Bombyx mori: one gene and its partner. The protein of the gene in region 2 interacts with the protein of the main gene of each other region in a pairwise test. Links are inferred from orthologs where the notes say so. Each region holds a gene or a part of one and is shown on either strand. Other genes may lie near its edges.

What was found.
Region 1: the proteins of phosphoinositide 3-kinase adapter protein 1 (region 2) and nuclear hormone receptor FTZ-F1 beta interact in a two-hybrid assay, tested with the Drosophila melanogaster proteins (2 studies listed by BioGRID). The link is inferred for Bombyx mori from reciprocal best matches to the Drosophila melanogaster genes stumps and Hr39.

The regions. Positions count from the first base shown.
Region 1 is NC_085121.1:3,625,928-3,629,859, forward strand, and holds the start of nuclear hormone receptor FTZ-F1 beta, read right to left. Parts: upstream 2,683-3,932; 5' UTR 2,232-2,682; intron 1-2,231.
Region 2 is NC_085118.1:7,634,365-7,638,196, reverse strand, and holds part of phosphoinositide 3-kinase adapter protein 1, read right to left. Parts: intron 2,163-3,832; coding exon 2,045-2,162; intron 1,923-2,044; coding exon 1,696-1,922; intron 1,360-1,695; coding exon 1,193-1,359; intron 833-1,192; coding exon 688-832; intron 559-687; coding exon 407-558; intron 244-406; coding exon 111-243; intron 1-110.

The DNA of each region.
Region 1 (3,932 bases), on a different chromosome or scaffold from region 2:
GATTTCCTAACAGCTACCATAACGCCTTCGAAGGAGACCTAACAACTCAAGAGCAGCTGCTACGCGAATGAATCTACTACCGGATCGGAATGGCGAGAACCTCAGCGGGCTGATGCATGGTCAGGTTGCACGTCGAACTCTTTGTAGAGTTCTACGAGTATGGTTGCCGGGTCCCCAAGCCTGCTCCTAGTGTTAGAGCTGAAGGCGTCTAATGCAAGGGTTATATGGACCTGATGGATCCGTAAGGACGTGTCTAGGGCGTCGACGGTGACTGGCTCCTCCGTGATCAGGATTCGGGGTGTAGTCAGCGGCGGTAACGATAAGGCGATTATCATGACGGTGATTGTTTACTGCTAGTGCTGCGTAGTAAGTCCATACCGGTAGGTATCACTACCCTGGCCGTTTCTACCGTTTCCAAGGATAAGATAGTTATTAAATGCAATTTAGATTTCGCCCTAATTCCTCAAGCAAGACGGCATTCACATTGTGATGTCTTTGTTGTCTGTTAATCACTTAAGATCAGGTTGGCCGTGAGCTCGTTCAGTCGTCAAAGCAATAAAAACATAAATAGATTAAGTCGTTGAGTAACCGCTTCCTGAATATTCGTGTGACATTTTTCTCTGTCTGGCGCTATTGGAGCAGTTTGAATTATTTTAAGGCGTTATTCTTCGTGAGATTCGAGCGTGCATTTCTACGCGTGCTCGTACGTTTTATCGCTGTTTCGTCTACACGGGCTTTTTATGATTCCGTAGTGTCCTTGACTACGTAATGTTCGAGGTAAAGGATAATTTCATACACTGCCCACTTGTTACAATATCGTCGTATTGTTTTGTTATTTATATTCGATTCCGTTGGACGATCTTGAAATTATTGGAACACACCTGTTTGTTATTATGACTGTAGCCCATAAACACATCCCATTGAGTTTCTCGCCGGATCTTCTCAGTGGATCGCGTTTTTGGTCCGGTGGTAGATTCTACGAAGCACTGCTCTTGCTCGGACCAGGTTTAGCAACACTACTGGTTTGAGCCTCGAAAGCTCACCTACAAGCCAGGGTGAAGCTGAAATAGCCTTGAGAGGCTCCTCAAGACTATCAGCATAGGTAGAAAAAATAATAAGAGTTTGTGCACTCAGAAACACAATAATACGTATACTTATGACAACTTACACAGAGTCCGTTATTTCGCGACACAAGTGCAAGACAAAGAGCTTCCTAGATACTTAAGTGCATACTTAATGAGCAACTCGCAAATATACGTCGTAATCTATCATCCAAACTATTGAAAAATATTGTTTGAACATTTAAATTATAGCATTTTTAACACGTTTTTATCAACTTGACATTTGATAGTGACATTGAAAAATTGCACACGGATCAAATACATACCGGTCAAAATAAAATAAATGCATTATATTAGTCTGATATTATACACATAACGCTAAATTTTTAATTAGGCTTGTTATAAAAGTGTGTTTTTTAAGCTTTTCAACTATATTTTGTTAGACAGTCTATTTGGAAATCATTGTTTGCCACATTAATGCCATTCTCACCCTGCCACCTAGGACTGAAATCTCAATAACATTCGCACAGGTACAACAGTTGTTACCTGTGACCTTTAAACCAGAGCGGATGATTGCTTCGTGGCAGAAATCAACTGCAAGGCAATTCCACTCATACAAGCACGCAAGATTCTTATAATAATGAACTATTTTATTTCTCTTATGACTGAACGTAACATAAACTATTCAATAATATTAAATAAATGAACGTTATAAACAAGCGATTGTAAATAAGTCATATCCCATTGAACCTTGATTTTAATTCAGACCTTGTTCTCAATAACCGAAATCCTTTTACCGGTGAATGTAATTTTTTTTTAAACATAATTCCGAGGTTTTAACTGAATCAAAAGATATTTCACTGCTACTCGAACTAAACGTGTCAAGTTTTCATATTTCCAAAAAATTAATTACTAATAAAAGAAGATTTTAAAGAGACAACTTTTGTGTACGACTGTCTTAAATGAAAACAAGCGTCGCGACGGCGGCAACGATAGTCCCGACTCGCGAGGGTCGGGGTGTGCACCCTTCGTGTCACGTGACAAACGACCTTCAGGCGGCGCACCGACCTTGAGTGTCGCTCGCCCCGCGCGCGGGTCAGAGGTGAATGCACGCTCGCCAGAGTCCCGCACACCATAGCGCGGCCCCGAAAAGTACTCTAACCGACGCACCTCACCTTGACTACGACACCATGGCCTGAACGCTCCTGGCGCTGCTGTATCAGACTCGAACACCCGGCCGTCGCAAACAGGTAACAGCACGACGCGGCACACCTTTCCCATAAAATACAACCGACAAGTTTATTGACATCGAGTCTCACTAACGATTGCGCAAATGTACGAATGTAACAATCTTTCTAAAGTTCAAAAAGCACGCATTGTCTTGGTTCGCTTAAAAAAACACTGTCCGTTTAAGTTTTAATTGTGTGTTCACTCAAAAAATACTTTTTAACATAAAAACATTGGACACAATACACAAACGCAGGCGCTATGACACTACGTCCTCTAAGCTCCGCAAAACAAAGCGGAATAAGCTGAATAAAGTTGAACTGTTGAACGTTGCGATTGAATGAACATGACATCTAGCTGGTCGTAAAACCTCGAAACAAAGGACATCTAGTGACTATCATACTGACTGCTTCGCATTAAATATTGAAATCGATCCACTGATCAACTAGAGATGGCGCTGTATTGGTTTATAATCCTCCAGATGTTTTTTTTTTGGTGATTTTATGACCTGGTAACTAAGACTTTTAAGTCATGTCTTATTTTAATTTATATTCTTATTTTTACGAAAAATGATAATATGGAGTGAAATGAAATGAAAATGATTAATTTGAGACATTAATCAACTGGGATGAAATTAAATGAAATGAGATGATATGGGATGAAATATAATCTTAGCAAAATGGTGGTCATTTACTAAGATTTTTCAGTGGACTTTTTGGAGGATCCCGAGAAGTTGCGTCCAGCGGCTTTGTTTCATTTTCCCACATTTGTGCACTTTCACAGATATTAAACAGTTAATAAACCACCGTTATTACACATTTAAACCTGAAGAAACACTAAATATACAAAATAAAACAAATCACACAACTTCACTCCTCGCGTTCCCGCCAAAAAGTCCTCCTCCAGATATGACAGACATAGACACAACACTAATTTACGACAACGTAGGTAAAGTCGTGTTCTCTACATACCGCTTTAGACTTTCTTCTTTCTTCTTTTCTATGGAGGGTAGAGGTATTCTTTTCAAATTGAGCTTTTTTTTTTTTTAATCTTTCTAGTAACCTATGTTGCGTCCTTAAGCCTAATGCTACTAATTGTTCCAGATATTTGTTCTATGGAAAACTGAAAACGCTATGGAAACAAGAGATTTAAATGAAGTAGATTTATTTAATATTAATAACAAAAGGAGATTGAATAACATGGAATAGAATAAAATGAATTGAAATTAGATACGATGAAAATAAAATACTAAAAGATACGAATTTCCTGAGACTTCCGAACTCGAGAACTCACGTCCTCTGTCGTAGTTACTCATTTTTTTACTGCTACTTTAAGTGGATAAATGCGATCCACGCTCATTTCTTGCTTTTCGCTGAGCTTAAGCTTAACTAATGTTTGTTGTTTTATTAGATTTTCTTCTTGTTAATGTAAATACAATAATGAATCCGAAAGTAAATTCGTTAAAAACCAATATGTCTGTACTGTTGAAAAAAAGGTAACAATTTTTTTCAACGTTAAGAAATAGCTAATGATATGCAATATGGATTTCAGCATAAAATATCAGAGAGGAAATATAATTTTTACAAAGACTTAGAATATTGAATAATAATATAGCTCACTGAACTAAATCTTTACTATTCTATT
Region 2 (3,832 bases):
CTACGAAACGACGTGCGATTAAAACGTAAAATTAATTTTAATTATGTCTACGACTAAAAACTAAAAAAAAACACTATGCTTAAGCTCAAAGTAAATGAAATTGAACTCACTGGAGACGTCTGCTTTTGGATTGAATTGGTCCGTCGATGAGAGAAGGTTGAAATGCGGTGGAATATTCTTTTGGAAAGCGTTGAGCATCCAGCTATCCAGTTGTTCCTTGCTCGTTGTTTTGAATCCTAACGTCTATAAAATAAATAACAATAATGTTATTTTCTGATTACATAAAAGCGTTATATTGAATTTAACGTTAATTTTAAGAGATAGGAAAATTTTAAATGATTTTTGATTTACTGATTGAAAGACCACCTGTTAACATCATCATTTTTATTTTACTTTAATATTTTACCTGGCACATGAATTCTAAGGGATGATCGGAGGCCCGCAGCAGCTGATCTAGCTCCCGCAAACGACTCTCGCATTTGATCTGACGTCGTCCGAGGGACTGGCCGTTTTTACTAACTCGAACCCACACCAACATGGAGACTTCCAAACATGATTCTAATTAAACAAACAAAAATTCCATTAATTCACTTATTAACATTATTTTATATGTAAGAGTGATGAGAATTATAATACTAAATTACGAACGGAAAAAAATTCAACATATTGCTTGCAATATTTTTTTACCTGGAATATCAAACTGCAAAGTATACGGGTTTCTTTTCTTGAAGGTCGGTATTTGTATGACCTCTCCTTTCTTATCGACCATTATCTTGATGCTGTCTTCTTCTCGAATAGGATCGTTAAGGAGCGCTATCACGCGACTCTGTCCCTGTGAACGAAGATAAATGACTTTTCGAGATGGATTCGGTACGCCTTTTACTTTGAAGACACATTTTAGGAACTTTTTAAATTTACGTTGAAAGTTCACGAGTTCGACACTGATTACTGAAATATAATTATAAGTAAGATTCAAGATGCTAATTTAAACATTAGAAAAGTATAATATATTTCTTTGAGCTTATTGTGACTTTCACACATTTCTTAATATCATTTAGGTATCAAATTTTGCCAAGCCACATGACCTTCGATCTAAACGCAAAACTTCCATACAAAAAAAAAAACTATATTCTATTTCTGCTCTGAAAGTTATTTACATTCACTTTCTGCAAGACACTAGCAAGTCACTTACTATTTTGACTTTTTTTGGTACAATGGAGAAGCTTGTTCTATCTGTAGCTGTATCTTTGCAGTCTTTAGTTCGTAAAATTCCAACGGCCGCCGTCAGAAAGGTGTCAACAAATGACGTGTCTTTCTCGCGTACCGACATCATATGCCATTGGTCTATTGTTGGATATTCTGAAATAGGAAATTGTTTCAACTATATTGTTTTAAATTCATGTATTCAATGACTTTTTTATTTTTATTGTTGATTGTTTTTTGTAAGTTTTTATATGCAGCTTTTTCTTTTTTTCTTTGTCTTAGTTTTAATGTTAGTTAACGATATTTCTATTTTAAGCACAAACGCTCTTAAGCAAGATGTGTTCACACCCAATAGGGTGAATTCTATCATGTATTATTTTATGTAAATAAGTTCAATGTTTATGTGTGCAGATTTAATCCAGTTGTGTGAACCTAATAGGCACGCGTATGTAGTGGCTAATGTACCTATATTAAAAACTTTACGATTCTCACCTTCACAATTTTCAGCTATAATATGACCTTTTTCAACTCCGAGGAGCATGACTAAAATTTTATCAGTTTTAAAGACATTTTCGGCGTTGAGATCTTTTTTCAAATCAGTCATTTTGGTTGCTAAATTCGGACACAGGATTACGATTTGCAGTTGCGCTTTTGACAGTTTATCGACTTTCTCCTGCGAATCGGAAGACAACAGTTCCTCTGCAGTCACTGGTGTCACCCTGTTAAAAAAATAATTAATAAAAAACACAATTAATACAATACAATTCCGGTTTTTGAATTATTGTGCATTGCGATTTTGAATCTAAAAATGACCATATTAAAGATTATTATTATTATTCACCTATAATGGTGTCTGGCTCTTTGTGACATAATTTTGTCGAAGCTGGCAACCAAGTAATCTGACCAAAGAGCACTCTCCGGAGACCCCGAGCTCCACAGTATCGCTATATCTTCCATTTCTGTAACAACAACGAAATTATATTCTTGTGATGCTTTGTGTGTAAAGTAACGTAAGTATGAAACTAAATATCCCCAAGTATCAGACCGATACATATAGGACCTCAATAGTGGGATTACTTTATAAAGTATGTACTATAGTACATACCTAATATCCAAATAATCTTTATACCTTTATACTTTATCGGCTTATTGTTCAGAAGTGAATCAGTGCCGATGAACGTAACCCAAAAAACATTACAAATCATATAATTAATCACGAATTATTTTCTAGTAAAATAAAAATATTTTTACACTGATTATATCAACTGTAATAAACTACACTGATATCATATAACATTCTAAAGTTGGGGGAGGGTGATGGGAGAGATGTGCTCCGCATTAAACGCTTCACTCTCCCCCCTTTGCCTTTTCATTAATTCTGTCTCATGCGAGGCTCGGACGTGGGTTGTTGAGCGACAGGAGGTTTTAGTCGGTTAGACTCCGACATACCCCGCCCGCCATCCCCAGTGGAGGGTGGGAGTCTGGCGATTTCCTCTTGACCAAAAAAAAACATCCTAAAGCGAAACAGTCTTCGCACTAAGTAAATCGGGTAAATTCCATGGAAGCAGCAATTCTGTTAGCTTATATAAGCAGCTTTCACACAAACAATGGAATTCCTATTTAATTAAAAGAAGTGCTTGGTTTGCACCGACCACCACAATTTAATCACATAGTGCACGGTGCTCTTAAATGTCAAACGGAAGCCACGAGTGGACACACGTTAATTGAGTCAGGAAATTCAATTAACTCTTCGTCGCTCGCTTCGGAAATTCCCATTTTGCTAACGAACACAAGAGAACAATTTAATTGATGCCTCAGTGAGCTTTTAACATTGTTGTCAAGCGTTGTCATGATTATTTTTCCATATGAATAACTCAGTTAAAAATATATATAAGAAAAAAAGGAAACCAAATTGGGTAGAATATTATTCATTACCCCAGTTATCAATTAGCGAAATAAGTAGAAAAGAGAACACAGTTGAATTATTATGCAAATTTAAACGTTAAATATACTTCTAATATTCTTTAAAATTATTATAAAAATATTTCCTAAAGACTATGAATTTATCAGACCTGATACTCTTTCGAACGGGGGTGTCGTGGCAAGTTATTTATACCTTTAACGTGTACTGTTTGATTGTTTGAATATTTAGTAATAGAAATCATTAAAACATTATTTTGTTAAAATTTTCTACGCTTCTTGCTTAAAGTTTATCTTAAAGTATGCAATATTTCTTCTGTTACGTTCATTGTATCGTTCTACATTTGAATACTGAAATTGTTTGTAATCGTCGATCTCAAAGGCGGTCGGTCAGAGCGATCAAATTTAATACCTTCGACTGAGAGGAAGTGTTGTCAAGGGATAATCAAGACATGAAAGATGTCGTTCACTTGATATCGAACGAGGGTCATTGCCTGGATCGAAGTTCACGAAGGCCCGTCGTAAAGCTTTGTACGCATGCCGCTCGATTTATTTATGTAAACACCGTGTGCATACAGCTGTTAATATTAACGATAAAAATCTAATCTAACACGTGTTTTATAAAAGAAAAACCATTAAAGAATATATATGTATTTCGGCGGAGCGTTAACCGTACCGGCATGCTCGTTCTATTTACGCTGTGGTAACT